Neurospora crassa OR74A: one gene and its partner. The protein of the gene in region 2 interacts with the protein of the main gene of each other region in a biochemical or structural test. Links are inferred from orthologs where the notes say so. Each region holds a gene or a part of one and is shown on either strand. Other genes may lie near its edges.

What was found.
Region 1: the proteins of NCU09561 (region 2) and NCU05194 form a complex in vitro, tested with the Saccharomyces cerevisiae proteins (2 studies listed by BioGRID). The link is inferred for Neurospora crassa OR74A from reciprocal best matches to the Saccharomyces cerevisiae genes PSF3 and MCM6.

The regions. Positions count from the first base shown.
Region 1 is NC_026504.1:5,792,659-5,803,873, forward strand, and holds NCU05194 (DNA replication licensing factor mcm6), read right to left. Parts: upstream 7,139-11,215; 5' UTR 6,953-7,138; coding exon 6,657-6,952; intron 6,592-6,656; coding exon 4,104-6,591; intron 4,038-4,103; coding exon 3,903-4,037; 3' UTR 3,622-3,902; downstream 1-3,621. Other genes in the region: NCU05196 (mitochondrial DnaJ chaperone), read right to left, coding at 1-414, 499-696; NCU05195 (hypothetical protein), read left to right, coding at 1,822-1,880, 1,955-3,350; NCU05193 (hypothetical protein), read left to right, coding at 8,376-8,638, 8,701-10,027. UniProt on the Saccharomyces cerevisiae protein: Acts as a component of the MCM2-7 complex (MCM complex) which is the putative replicative helicase essential for 'once per cell cycle' DNA replication initiation and elongation in eukaryotic cells.
Region 2 is NC_026507.1:995,840-1,000,049, forward strand, and holds NCU09561 (DNA replication complex GINS protein psf-3), read right to left. Parts: upstream 2,801-4,210; 5' UTR 2,667-2,800; coding exon 2,625-2,666; intron 2,550-2,624; coding exon 1,935-2,549; 3' UTR 1,365-1,934; coding exon of another isoform or gene 613-1,364; 3' UTR 544-612; coding exon of another isoform or gene 426-543; 3' UTR 227-425; downstream 1-226. Other genes in the region: NCU09562 (hypothetical protein), read left to right, coding at 426-543, 613-1,364; NCU09560 (superoxide dismutase), read left to right, coding at 3,027-3,082, 3,159-3,304, 3,426-3,994. UniProt on the Saccharomyces cerevisiae protein: Functions as part of the GINS complex which plays an essential role in the initiation of DNA replication by binding to DNA replication origins and facilitating the assembly of the DNA replication machinery.

The DNA.
Region 1 (11,215 bases), on a different chromosome or scaffold from region 2:
CCGACCGCCGCCGCCGCCGCCAAAGGGACCACGGCCACCACCGGTAAATGCTGAGAAGAGATCATCGAGGTTGATGTTTGCGCCGAAGCCGCCGCGTCCGCCGAAGCCGCCAAAGGGGTGCCCGCCGCCAAACGGTTCACCACCAGGGCCGGGGTGGCCGCCTGCTTCGAAGCCAGCAGCGCCGAACTGGTCGAACTGCTTCCTCTTCTCGGGATCAGATAGGATTTCGTAGGCGGACTGGATCTCGGCAAACTTGTCCTTGGCGTTGGGGTCCTTGTTCGTATCGGGGTGGTATTTCTTGGCTAGGCCGTAGTAGGCCTTTTTGATGTCGGATTGCGAGGCGCTCCGGTCAACACCCAGTACGCCGTAGGGGTCGCGAGGTGTAGCAAGCAGGCGGTTGGTGGTGTGGAAGGTCTATGGATTAAGCAGGAGCTGGTCAGCATGTGGATGAATCGAAGTCACGGAGCCAAAGTGAACAAAGACGTCATCAGGACCTACCCTTGGCTTCGAGATAGGCCTCGTGGGAGAAGTGGTGGGTGTGGTTGAGCGGCTGGTGCGAGGCCTAGCAACTACAGTAAAGCCAGCAGCAGAAGCCTTTCTTCCGGCACAGGCTCTAAACCTCTGGCGACGACATATTTGCGCGGGAGAGAAGTGGCGAGCCGGGAGGGCTGCCTTGGGAAGAACGGACGAGTTCATCTTGATCTAGTAGGTAGCTATGGATAGGTAGGTAGAGAGGAGAGAGAGGAGGGTTCGGGTTTCGTCGGTAGATGGTGCGGGCCAGTGAGTAGGTAGCCAACAGGTTATTTACCGCGACATTAAACAAAGGAGTGTGTGAGAGTGTACAGCGTAGGGAGTAACCTGAACCGAACACCCGTGTGTGGATGGAGAGAATAAAGTGAGGGTCAAGGAAGTGGAAGTTCGTTACGAAAGAAGGTCGGATCGTGACCAGGAAACCATGCAGTCAACTTTTTGGCGATTCGCCGAATCACAGCCGCCATTGGGCTGTTGGTGCTCGGTCTTGGCATTCAAAGCACGCACTGGAGCTGCTGAAAAATGGGGAAGAGCTGCTGAAAAGTGGAGAATTCGGGAACCTCGCTGGTCTTCAAAGTGTCTAGAAATCACCACCGCCTTCTTTCTGCCCCACCACTACACCCATTCCCGTCGTCTGGGTGATGGTGTTTGGGTGTCATCACTGCAATCAGTTCCTACAAGTATATGGATTCCCATATGCGTCTGTTGAGTTTCAAACCTCCCGAAATCATCATTAAGAGTCCATTGCGCTGAGACAAAACACACACACACGAAAAAAAAAGAAGGAAATAAACCGAGGATGTCCGGGTAGCTCATCAACGCAGTCCCCCCGTCCCAGCTGGGCGCTAGATCAACATGACGGGAGGGGTCCTCGTCTATAACTAACTGATAAGATAAGGAAAGCCCACTGTAACTCCATCACCACAGTGACGACACACCCTCGATTTGTTTTCTTTCTGCATGTGCATGTCATCACCACCACCACCAGGCTATGTATGGTAGGCTGTTTTGCGCCCAGCCACATCTTTGCGCCTTCATTCATTCGCGACAACACGCGCGACAGCCAATCCAAGCCTGCTTGACTGGTAGCATGCAAGAAGTGCTGCTTCTTTGACCTGTTGTTTTGGCCTTGTTGTCGCAACGAAGCCACAAAGGTTCCCAGCCGGCCCATCGCTCACCATTGTCGACCGACCGCGTGCTCGCGACTCCATCATCTGTTTTGTCCCACCTACACTAATTTCGCTTTCGATTCCCGCGTAGCACTACCAGAAACTCCGAGACACCAACATCATGAACAACCAACAATCACTCGTCGACTACCTAGTCCAACACGAGCCCAGCTTCAGGAAGTGCGTCTTTGCCCATTCGACTGATGCCGCCTCGCTTCATCTTGGGTGTTCCCAGCTAACCTCCTTTTCCACAGAGCCCGCCTCCCAGCCCTATACTCCGATTTCACCACCCTCCGCACTCTCAACCCCGATGGCTACCAGGCCAATATCTCCGCCTGGCGTTCTGCCCTCGCCCACCTCGCCCGCTCCGGCTTGGCCCCCGCCCCAAAAGGTTCAACGCCCAACCTCCTCGTCCTCAATTCCGATGAATCCCTCCTCCGCGCTCTCGAGTCCAAAAAGTACGGCCGGCCGTTAGCCCTGGGCACAGTGATTAGGGAAGCACTGGCCTCCAAGGACCTTGTACCGCTGCATGACTTCCTCACATCCCCAACGAGCATATACTACCAGCCATGGCTACCATCACCGTGGGCTGTAGCTGGCGGTGTGGCCGGCTGGGCCTTGAAACAACTAGGTGTAGCAGATTGGCTGAGGGGGAACGGGCTACCAAAGGGACAATACGTGGTGGTCGCCAACGTCCAAGAAGCCGGCAAGCAGTTCGCCGCAACCACCGCATCCGCCCTAACAGACAGCCGCTTCGAACGTACCTGGTCCAAAGCGCACTTTCTCCATACGTACAACGAGCAGGTCAAGCTGGAGCAAGGCAGCGAGGGCAAACTCCTCAGTGAAACCGATCTCGACGTGTTACTCGTCTTTCTCTCGCGCGACAAGGACCTCATCCTCTACGACGGCTCCACCTTTAAGATCAAGACTCCCTCTGATGAGCAACAAAGCATAACGCCCGAAGACACAACAGTCGCTTCCATCAAGGAACTCATCTCCTCCCTGACGCACCAAACTCACGCCCTAGCGGGCCGCATCACCGAACTCGACAAAGCCGCCCGCCAAGCCGTGCAGTCCAATAACCGAATCGCAGCCTTGGCGGCTCTCAAACAAAAGAAACTCGCCGAGCAGAGTCTCGAGGGCCGCTACGCAAGCTTAACGCAACTAGAAGCCGTCGCGTCCCAGATCCAACAAGCCAGCGACAGCGTAGCCATGATGAAAATCATGGAAACCAGCAGCAAGGTGCTCGAGTCGCTCAACGAGCAAGTCGGTGGTGTTGATAGGGTCGAGAACCTTACTTCCAAACTCAGAGAGCAGATGGCCGAGGTGGATGAGGTTAATACCATTCTGGCCGAGGCGGGCACGACTGCTGCTGGTGGATTGGTGGATGAGGAGGAGATTGATGAGGAACTGGAAGAGATGTTGGCGGAGCAGGAGAAGGAGAAGCAAGCCAAGGAGGAGAAGGAGGAGGAAGAGAGAGAGAGGGACAGGGAGAGGGAACGAGAACAAGAGAGGGAGGCGGAGGAACTCAGGAGGAGATTGGAGGCGATTGGGGGTGTGCCGGTGGTTGAGCCGGGGACAACGGCGGGGAGCAAAAGAGAAAGGGAGATGGAGAGGTTGATGAAGGGTATGTCGATTGATGATGAGTGATCTTTCTCAGGAGAGGGATATAGATACCATGGTTTATTTTAGTAGGCAGTGCTAATTGTTTTGGTAGGTTAATTGCGAGTATACCAACTTTGTTTAACTTCGGTCCCTTTTTGACTACGACTACGATGACGAGTTTCACGACTGTTACGATACGGCGTTGATTAATCCCAATTTTGATGGATACTGCTTTTACGACTTTCAAAGGGCAAATAGAATGGGACTGGGATGAGCGACCAAGGTTTCACGACCAGGACATGATTATGAACTATGACAGGGCGTTAAGGGGTGTTTGTTTACGGGGTACTCACTCCATCACGAGATGCTAGCCCATGTCGATAGTTGATGCGTTACATCGACGCAATACATTGTAACCAACCCTCTATTGTATTCACACAAGACCGTGATATCTTTCCCGTCCAGCCTATCAACACAACTCCAAAACGCCAGCCAGCCAGCCAGGTCTCTCGCTCGCTCTAATCAAGATCCAATCCAAATCCCATGCGACACTTTTCGTACCCTTTCCTTTTTTTTGCCATCCACTCAAACAACACATTAGAACTCCTCCACCGCGCAATTAGGATGCAACACATAGACAATGTTGCCCTCTGCCCTTGCCGAGGTACCTTCTCCCACGGTACCTTCTTCGCCAACAATTCCTTGTCCGCGGATCGCCATGAGGATGTTGTCCTGTTTTTTTTCAATTTCATTAGCAGTCGCTCAATCTGCAGGAAGAAAAAGGGGGCAGAAACATACCTTGACCATCCTCTTCAAAACCTTGCCCACCAACCTCCTCTCCTCGTGATACTCCTCTTCCGTTGCCATCTCCTCCTCCTTCTGCTCCAGGTACCACTCCACCAGCTGCTCGCCTTCGATCCCTTCCCCTGAGCCTTGCGTCTCGTCTTCGGCCACCTTGGAGACGATCAGGTTCACAATGGAAATGTACTTGTCGTACGAAATCGTCTGCTTCTCGCGATGCGCTTGCGAGGGTGCCGCAGACGGCTGTCGGGCAGCTTCACCACCCATGTCGACGTCGCCATCTCCGTCCATATCGGCCTCGGGCACGCGCGAAGCAGCGGCGGCGGCGGCTTGCAAGGCCTCGGGGGAGTCGGCGGGTGGTTCGGGAGCGTCTTCCTCGTCGTCTACTTCGACGTCGTCGTGTTCGACGGAAATGATCGACTGCCGCAAAAGGTGGAACGCCTCATTAACAAAATCGGGCGTGATTTCCTCGACGCAGTTGGCCTTGGCAATGGCTTCAGACAGACGGATCATACTCTCCAGCTGTCTGACGGTGATTCGGTAGCTGTTCTTGCCGATGCCGCCCTGGGCGTCGTCGGCGCGCAGGTCCTTGTAGCGCTGCACGAGGACTTCCTTGGCTTCGTCGGTGAACTCGGGGCGGAAAGTGCGAGCGAAACGAATGTACCGCTGCAGTTGCTCGGTGGAAAACTCGGGCTCGATGGCTTGGTCCCGGTTTTGGTGCAGGCCGACAATGTGTTCGGCCAAGTGGCGGTCGACCTGCTCGTTGCACTCGTCGAGGATGACGAAGAACAGATCGAAACGCGACATGATGGGCGCCGACATGTTGATGTTGGCGCGCAGGGTGGTCTTGCGGTTGTAGCGACCTCCGACCGGGTTGGCAGCTGCTAGAATCGAGGTTCTGGCATTAAGCGTGGCCTGAATACCGGCCTTGGCAATGGAAATGGTCTGCTGTTCCATGGCTTCGTGGATGGCAACCTGATCGGCAATGTCCATCTTGTCGAACTCGTCGATGCAGCAGATGCCGTTGTCAGCGAGCATGAGGGCACCGGCTTCAATGGTGAATTCACCGGTTTCTTCATCCTTGACCACGGCAGCCGTAAGACCAGCGGCGGAAGAGGCCTTGCCGGAGGTGTAGACTGCCCGGGGAGCAAAGTTGACGACGTACTTGAGAAATTGGGATTTGGACGTCGAGGGGTCGCCGACGATGCAGATGTTGATGTCGCCACGGAGTGCCATGCCTTCGGCGGTGGTTTTGGAGACACCAGACAAAAGCTGCAAGAGGATACCCTTCTTGACGACTTCGTGACCGTAGACTGTGGGTGCCAAGGACTGGACAAGGCGTGCGTAGATGTGGTCGCTGTGCACCATGGCACGGAGGTCTTCCATCTCGGCAGAGGTGTAGGAGCTCAGCAGAGCTTCCTGGGCTTCCTTGATGGTCTCGGCTGTTTCGGCCGCCGCGCTGCTGTTGAGGGTACCAACAATGTCCATCAGAAGGGCATCGCCAGAAGCACCGATTGCCGACACATCAGGCGTGACCATGCAAGCCAGGAACGCCAAACGGTAGGTAAGATCGCGCACACCCAGGGCCTTGAGACCAGAAACACCACTGCCACCGGCATCCGCACCCCGATCATCACGCACCGACACGTTCCGCACACCCGGCAGACCCAATTGACTGACATCCGGCACCACGATCAGCGCACCCGTAAAGATACACTTTTCGCCGGCCTTGGCGCGATCCACCAGTTCGCCGCGCAAAATCACATCCATTGTCCTGGGCATGCTTCCTGTGGGAATCTCGCTACTGTTTTCCTGCACGCGCACCTTTTGCCAGTCCACAAAGGTGCTCTGCCTGATGTCCAGCTGCCACGAAGTGCGGTTCTGGCACGTCAAGTTGGGACACTGCGTCGGTTCGGTGTATCGGAACGTCTGCTCGACATTGGGAACGACGGCGTAGCAGGCCTGGCAGACAAAGGTGGCCAGAGCCAGCTCGGGCCGGACCTCGGAGGTGCGTGTGACGGTGCCGCTAATGGCAAGAAGCTGGCCGACGTTGCGGGCGCGCATGGAGCGCACGCGCGAGACGAGGGGCAGGTTGTAGAAGGCAATGGCAAAGAGCTTGTCGGTTTGTTGGTTGGGGTTCTTGATGCCAAAGTCGGACTGGCTCGCGTTGGCGCCTCGTGTGCTGGCGGCTGTCGTGGAGTGGGCGCTGGATGCCGTGGGCTGGCGATGTTCGTTAAAGTATTGGGGTTCGTGGGCGGCGATTCGGCTATGGAGGGCGGCTGTGAGGAAGGGAAGGAAGCGGTAGTACGAGTTGGTGATGGCCTCGGCGAGGGTGCCGTCTTGCCATGAGGCGACGTGCTTGTAGTCGACGTAGAAGGTGGATAACGAGTAGGTCCTCATGCCGTGGATCTGGGCGACGTAGTACTTGTCTGTCGTGACTGCGCTCGAGGTTGGTTGGCCGGACGAGGTGGGTGTTTCGACGTAGCTGGCGCCGGTGTCAGCAAGTACACCAAGTAGTACATGTTTGGCTGGTTTCTTGGATCTTCATACCCGTCAATGAAGGCCTCAAAGGCTCTCTGGACCATGACACCAATCCTATCCTGAACCCTGGGGATGTCGGCAATGTTCCGAGGCCTCGAGCGGACGGGGACCTGATCATCAGCGAACCCTTCCTCGCCCTCGTCTTCGCTGGCCGCTCCGAGGCTTTCTGAGGGGGGGCCTCGTGGACGAGCTGAAGAGGAACTGGGATGACCGTTTCGCGCCCTGGGAGTAGCTCCTCCTCGCGAAGCGATTCCGTCCGACATCATGAAGCCAGCATCGCTGGAGTGTGCCATTGGTGTTGCCATTGTGTTATGGTGTTGCTGTGGTCCACCTGGGTATCAAGGAGAGTTGGTGGAGATTGGAAGTTGTCGAGGTCAAGATTCAAGTAGAGATATGAGAACCCAAGGGACCAAGGACTGACTGGTTAGTGAGTGGAAGGAGGGGAAACTGTGACGAGGGGAGGGGAACTGAGTCCTCCCTGTCAAGAAAACACGATAAAACACGCGCCAGAAAAGCTGAAGCGCGCCAAGACCAGGAAGCTGGCGCGCACAAGTGGGGCCCTCTTTAATGGCTTCGCTAGTGGGATATAGATTGGATAACTGCATACCACCTGCACTTGGCCACAGAAATTCAACCTCTGGGGTGTATCGCCGAAAGCAATACACTTGCTGTAACGAAGCATCGCCATTCGACTCTGCCTTGTTCGTACGACGACCCGACTTGCCCTACCAAGGATTCAGCCTCCTGGTAGAAGTTGCCTACTATGTCTTTTAGTGATTCCAGGCCTTTCGTGTGCCGAATGAGACCTTTTGCAATTCTCTCCCAACTATTTTCATTCATTTTGATTTGAGAAATCCTCCAGCAAGATGCTCCTTCCTCACAAGCCGTTGCAAAATGGGTGATGCTTCTTCCATCCATTGAACAATTCTGTGTGTATTGACGAAGCACAATTTTCTCGAGCTGATGCCCTCTTCCCGCTGTCGGCACTCTTTATCAAGTGCCACACAATTGTCGTCGCTCCCTCGGTTCCTCGAATGCAGTGTTCCCTCCCACATCAGCCAAACTGAACTGTCAATCGCCCTCGTCCAATTTCCTCAGCCTTCGGTGACATCCATCAACCAGCTTGCCATGGTATCTTGCCATTAAAACCGGCCAGCTGCCAGGTCAAGTCCGTGGTGGTTCTCTATAACATCCGAGTTATGTATGTATGTCAGACAAGGTACAACACAAGAAGGTGAGTATAGTGAGGTCGAACCAGTCAGAAGTGGTCCCGGTCATGTTCGGTCCCAAACTCCAACATCTCCGAGACATACAAGCTGCAGTGTTACCACAATTTCATCTGGGCTGATAGGCTTTAGCCGAGAGCATGCCAGCCCTTGACCACCCACATCAACCCGCGGCCAAGAACACATGTCCTTGCTTGACGTGACGACCTTCTGCAATCTGGTATCCGCCTGCCCCTCCCCCCGATCAGATCTCTGGGCTGAAACGCCATGTAGGTGGGCAGCGTGGCGGCGAACCTGATCTATCTTTGCCATCACCCCCCTTCCTGACGTCTCAGCTTCTTCTACCACTCCACAAACAACAGCAATGTTAGATCAGTAGTCTCTTGACATCAGAATGGCTTGACAAGCGAAACAAAGACACTATCAGCTGACTCGGCCAAACAAAGCTTTGTGTCAGAGAAGATCGTATCTGGGCCCGCATTCAGTCAGTCAAAAGTCCAAGATGAACAGCAATACGGACTTCACTCAGCTATGGCATCGCCATTTGGCCAACCTCCGCCATGACTTCTCGGCTGGAGCTGTTGACAACGCTCGTGTACACGCTTCGCCTTCGAAGCCGGCAAGGAGCATGGATGGAAGAGGAGACAGTGAAGCTACGCCCAGGGGCGCTGATCATCATGACATCCAAGCGACGTCGCTCCCCGTTGGACTCGAGTGGGACGGAGACATGGAGATGGTGATTGGTGCTTTGCAGGAGCTTGAGGTGTAAGTTCGGCCAACCTGACATCTGATCCCAAGACAAAACGGCTAACGGACATCCGTAACAGTCAAAGCCCTATCACCGCCACCGAAGCCCTCAGTCCCGATTCTCCGTGGTTCAGAGACCATCATCTTCGCCGTGATGCCGATGGTGATGGGGATATAGAGATTGAGACTGTGGCGTCGTCACCGCAAAATTCGAGCTGGTCGAGGACCGTCGCGCCTCCGAAAGCACAGCGAGCCCGTTTATCATTGCAACCACAGCTGAAGAGCCCCGTCAACCTCTATACGTCTGCGGCTGCTAAGGGGCTTGATACAGATGCTAAAGCACGGACAGAAAGAAGATACTCACAAGACTGGTCCAGAGATCATGCAACACTCCTCTCACACTCTCAGCAGCTATACGAGACTTACTCGGCTTATCCAGCATCACTAGCTTTCAGTACTGCTCGACCTGAACCCGAGACCGAACCACCAGAACCAAAAACCAGGTTCAGCTCCATCTTCTCGCCCTCTCAGCGCAGTCGACATGCACAGCTAACCGAAGAAGTCAACGTCTTGATCCTCAGCTGGGCTACGACAACCACAACAATAACCGCCAAGGAACAAGGGCCAATCAAACTCAGTTCAAGTCGGCAAGGGATCAATACCTCCACGGACTCCGTTCGAAACTGCTTCAAACGGCTCGGATATCGAGTCCAATGCCGACCGATTCCCGAGGACTATCCTACTGCGGCTGTGGAGACCCTGCTGGCCAAGTTTCTCGCGGACTCCGATACGGGCCAGGGGAGGAAGAAGTTGCTAGTCATTTACTATGCTGGGGGAGCGGACATGGTTGGAGGAAGGATGATGTTTGCGAATGCGATTGGCTCGAGTCATTTCTTCTGGGAGGACATTCGCGAGCCCATCATGTCGAGTGAGAGTGACGTCTTGCTCATCCTTGACTGTCATCACTCCATGAGGTCGAATACGAGCACAGAAGCAGAAGATCAACTGATGGTCGACCCGGGCCTGGCATCGTCACCCTCCGTTAAGCAACTCTTGGGCGCCTACGTTCCTGTTCCCTTGCCCCGAACAGATACACCCAACAGCAGCTCGAATGGGGGCATCACGGGAGCAACGCAGATGACCCAAACCCTTTGCAGAATTCTGGACAGCGCCTACGCTAGAGGAGACGGCAAGATATCAGTGCAGAGGTTGTGCTCGTGCATGAAAAATGACTTGCGACAAAACGGCACGGAACTGGATCAAATGGTGTTTGTTACGCAGTTGGGAGGAAGACACTTGATGGATATCGAGTTGCCTGTGTTGTCTGCCGGCATCGATATCGGCGTTAGAGGTGGCAATGACGTCGGCGGCGGTGTATCGCGGGGTATGGGAGTCCTCCGAGGTTGATATCAACTACACCTCAACTTGGGCAAGTTTAGTCCCATTCGAGAGTTCTTCCTATCCCTGGGGCAATCACACACAGGCAGCTAGCGTGTCTGCCTGATCATCTCTCCCTCCAATCACTGACTTTGGATAGTCTTCCGTCTGGTATGGGTGTTGTTGATGGAGAAGCAGCAACCTAGCCTAGTTTATGGGACATGTGTGATATATCCCTGAGAGCTGAAGACTAAAACTCCAATGACACCCAATCGCTTCCACTTTTGGAGATCTTCGGCATTTGCTAGCGTGTGCTCCATATTCCTTATCCCGAAGCGGTAAACCGATGGAACATACGACATGGAAATTTTCGAATTAGACCATGTCGATCGACTTCCGCCTCGCCCAAGGACGTTCTCATCACTTCTTCGTCACACGTCTCCGTCGTGGGAACTGGGAAGCGTATATTCAGCGTGGCATGGGATAGCCTGCGTGGGTCCTGCAAGGAGCACTGGGATTCCATCGTGTTCGGTTTTCCATCAGGGAATGTGAACGGCTACATTACATCCCGAAGTGAACCCCAGCTACCCGCACGCTCAGGGTATGTAATTGGCAACAATGAGAGACATTGTCTTTACAGGACTCCACTGAATCAAGGGGTCCTCAGCTGTCAAACTCGAAAGCTCCCTTCCTTCATCAACATCGCCGTCATAGTCAACGACACTACGGGCTTGTGTCCGAGCCTACGTGCCGAGGCTGCCGCGAATAGCGTCAAGGTGATGAGCCTCAAGGCGTGCCTCATGGCCACCCTCGTTTCTTCTTTTGTGCGGGGCTAGCCGATTCCGCCATTGTACGGTCGATAAGGCAGTGCGTCTGTCACACTCGTTGATGCCTATGGGTGTATGGTCCTGGCAAGCGCTCTAACCTCACTCGCCCCCGCTTTTCCTGGATCAACCCATCTTCAGCTTGGCGATGCTGGTCAGTCTCTGGCTTCAGTTGTCATGTCCACCCATCTAGGATAATGCTCGGCACGAGGACATCGCGATGTAGATGGAGCGTTGTTCACATCCACTAGCTTCTGTAAAGTCGCAAATCAGAGCAGGCGGGATTCTGGATGATCATGGTCGACATTGTGGACACCATCAAAGGGCTCAGCCTTTGGACTCATCACAGACACACATGACATGACACTAGTAGCTGTTGGGGCGTGATATCGTC
Region 2 (4,210 bases):
AACCCAAATTTGGGACGCCCGGCGGCAAAATTGTCCACGTCAACGCGTGTCAATGGTGAGCACGGCAGCGAGGCATTCGAGCGAGTCGAAAACGGGGCAAAAGGGTAAGGCTGGGACTGGAGCTAGAGGATCCTATGACCGTTCGTGATGCCGGGGCCGCGCCTGTTAGACTTGTTGATGGGGTTGGAGAGACCGATCAAGGGGAAGAAAGGCATATATACTGCTGCAATAACTTATAATCGTCATTGATGTTGTACTTGTCATTGTCGTCTTTCTCAACTTCTCTTATTCTTTCATTCGTTCTCTCTCGGGCTGGTTTCCGACCGCTGTTATTTTCTTTCTAGGCGTAGCATACACCCATCTCCGCATCGGCCCTCGCTTGCTAGACTCACCTGTTTCTGCGAGTACAAGCCCAATCAGGAGCCATGCGTCATCCGCTCTCTCTCCGCTTCTTCGCCAACTTCACTATTACCATTCTCCTTGCCTGCAACATAGTCTCTGCCTTTCATGTTGAAGATCTCCTTTACACCTTGCGATCGCTGAGTAAGTCTCGAGTACCAAGCTCAAGATACCGGAAGCTCTAAGCACTGACGACCCCCTCCCTCATCACAGAAGATGCGCCATCCGGTAGCGCGGTTCTCAAAGCCCGCAGCTCGAACTTCACCGCTCCTGCTTCCGCTCCGGCTTCCAATGGCACTGTTGGCTCCTCCCATCCTGACTCGACGGACAAAAAGGAAGGGGGGCTTGGCCTAGGTGGTCTGTTGCATAACCTCTTCGGCCGCCATGATACGTCCACCGCCATTACTCTCAATATCCGGGCCTCAAATAGCACCGTAACCCCTGCTGGTGTTTCCAACGGCACTATCCTTGGCGGTGCCTCCCATCCAGACGCGGCAACCAAAGGAGACCACGGATCCCTTGGACTTGGCGATCTCCTTCACAAGATCTTCAATCACCACAACACGCCCACCATCCCTGGTCCTCTCGCTGGCCGCAGCTCGAATAGTACTGTCCTTCCCGCTGCCGCATCCAACGGCACTGTGCCCACCGGCTCTTCCCACCCGGATGCAGCAACAGAAAAGGGACAGGGGCTCGGACTGGGTAGTCTTTTGAGCAAGATCTTTGGCCGTTCTGAACCTGTGCCTGTGTCTGTCGAGCCTGAAGATGTTGACGAGGTTGACGGCGAGGTTGGTATGCTTATGAGTCTCAACCGCCGTGCCAAAAAGGACGGGGAGAATAGGCTGAGCCGTGAGGAGAGGAGGAAAAATCGGGAGAAGAGGCGTGTGAGAAGGGCCATGTCTGCTGCAACTGAGTCTAAGAAGGAGGAGAGGCATGTTGATCGCTCCAGAGTGTCCCGCGGGTGAGGGTGGTGGCTAGTCGTCGGCCAAGCCAATTTGAGCTTCGGCTATCTTGTTAAATATTCCATAGACCGTGATGGACGAAATAGTGGTATACCCAAATGAAGGATCCGATGTCGCTCGCTAGTCACCCACCAATTGACGAAGTCCGAGTTAACAGAGAGTGCCGAACCTCATGTCCTCTTAATATCTCATGAGTCTTCCTCATTATTAGGCCAGATGGTCTGCTGTGCCGCTGACAGCACAACTCTGTGAAGATCAGCGATGCGTAGGATACTCATCCGGCGATAGCAGTCCAAGTCCGCCATACTTCCAGGGGAGGGTGACACAACTAAACCCCCAAGAATCCTGTCTCCTTCGTGGTATCCCGATGCTCTCGAGCCGTGATAATGACTGATCCACAGCTTCGTCATGGTAAATGAACTTGGGAGGTCGCCGGTGGCCTGTTGTTATATACTGCATCGAGCGCAGTCCGAGAATCATGGAGGATGCTTGAACCGAAGCGCTGGTTCGTTGCGAGGTAAAGACCGATCGGGCGCCAGCGGTAGCAACAACGCTCCAACAGTACCACTCCACTCACCTCTTCTTGACATTCTCCATCCACTCCTTGCTCGCCTTCGTCCCATCATGTGCACTCCTAAACAGCTTCCTCTCCCACTCATCCAACCCTCTCAAAAAGTCCTCACCAGCGCCTCCCACGCCCAAATTGCTGGCATTATCGTCCTTCGTCGCCTTCCCCTTGCCCTTTCCTCCGGCTCCTCCGCCATCTCGACCATGATACGAACTTCCGCCCCCACCCACCTTCCTAGCATGCAACGCAATCTCCGCCGCCCTCGAGACAAACGTTTTCCTTAACACTGCGCTCAGCTCCGGCTCCTCTGACAACTCCATCATGTGCGTGGCGAGGGCGTAGAAGTGGGCGCTCTGATCGCGCAGCGGCACGGAGCGCGGGTCGGCTTTCAAAGCTTGGACAACGTCGTTACCCAGTGCCGGGGGCAGGTCGAAGGTGATGAAGGATTTGCTGGACTGTGATGGGTCGTCCATGTCGACGGCGCCCGTATTAGCGATGGCGAGCATTTCAGCCAGCCAGATGGGGAGAGCGACGCGCGAGCCGGACTTAAGGGTGTGCCCCGGTTGGTTGTCGAGATAGCCAAGGTCGGGGACGTCGATTTGAAAGGTACAAGGAATTTTCTGGGGAGGATCGTCGGGTTAGTTGGTGTTTTGGCGTTGGGTGATGATATGGTGGGGGAGGGAGATGGAGGGTACCTCTGCGTCAGTCAGGATCGCATCGATATCGTAATATGACATGGTGGTGATTTTGGTAGCTTCAATTGGACCAGCCTGGCGTTTGGAGATGAGTTGGACAGTGTTGAGTTGGACAACTGACCCAAACCAAGTTTTCGCCAGGATTTCGAGATCAATCAAGGTTCTGGGGAGACGCGCTCTGGAAGTGGGAGACGCGACAGAGGAAGAGCGCCGCCATGCCAAGAGACCGCAATTAACACTGTGGCTTACTCACCACTCAGAGACGGCTCCTTGTTCCACTTTCAGCCACACGAGCCATAGAGGTACCCACCTCTTCCCCTCGGCGGGGTGGGGCTATGACGGAATTAGTTGGAACGGTTTCCATGGAGCTTCCATCATCATCCGAGCTTATTAGATAAGTAAATGGAAAGAGACATTTCCGATAGTCGCAATCAGTCGGCCAATTCACTTACTCTGAGGTAGCCGCCGTCCCATTGATCATCTAATTTTCCTCTTCTCGCACTTCAAGACCTAACCACTTCACCTAATTACTAGTCTTTCTCTCGATAAACAAGCCGTCACAATGTCCGCATCCCTCTTCCGCGCTACTCCGGTCGCCCGCAGCGCTCTGCGCGCCGCCAGCGCCGTTAAGCCCGCCGCTACCTTTGTCCGCGGCAAGGCCACTCTTCCCGACCTTCAGTGTAAGTTCTTTCCTCCAACATTCGCTCGCTTTGCAATGCCCGCTCCTCATTTCAGTCTATCCTCCCTCCGCTTCGGCTTTGAGGAAAAACCCCCCAAGCTAACTCACTCTCCTTTCCCTAGACGACTACGGCGCTCTTGAGCCCTACATCTCCTCCAAGATCATGGAGCTCCACCACTCCAAGCACCATCAGACCTACGTCAACGGCCTCAATTCGGCCCTGACCACCATTGCCGAGGCCGAGTCCAAGGGTGACTTCACCAAGGCCGCCTCGGTCGCCCCTCTCCTCAACTTCCACGGCGGCGGCCACCTCAACCACACCTTGTTCTGGGAGAACCTGGCCCCCGCCTCGCGCGAGGGTGGCGGTTCACCCGATGGTGCTCTCGGCAAGGCCATCACGACCGAGTTTGGTTCTTTCGAGAGCTTCGTCAAGCAGATGAATGCTGCGCTGGCCGGCATCCAGGGCTCGGGTTGGGCGTGGTTGGCCAAGGATAAGGCTGCGAACGGCAAGCTCGCGCTGATTACCCGTGCCAACCAGGACCCTGTTACTGGTAACTATGTGCCCCTGTTGGGCATTGACGCGTGGGAGCATGCGTACTACTTGCAGTATGAGAACAGGAAGGCAGAGTACTTTGAGGCGATCTGGAACGTGATTAACTGGAAGACTGTTGCCAAGAGGTTTGAGGCTTAAGTTGTATATACCTTGGGGTGTAGTAGCAGGGGCGCTTTAATTGACTAATGTGTTGCTGCTGTGCAGAAAGCTTGTGATTGTTTGGTGGTAGTGTTGTATGTGATATTACTTGCGGTTACGAGAAGGTCACGAAGCGTCATGTCAACGGTGCAGGAGGGTGACGTTGACGTTAGAGCGCGCAGCACGTTCTTGTCCAAGCATGGGTTCACATTGACA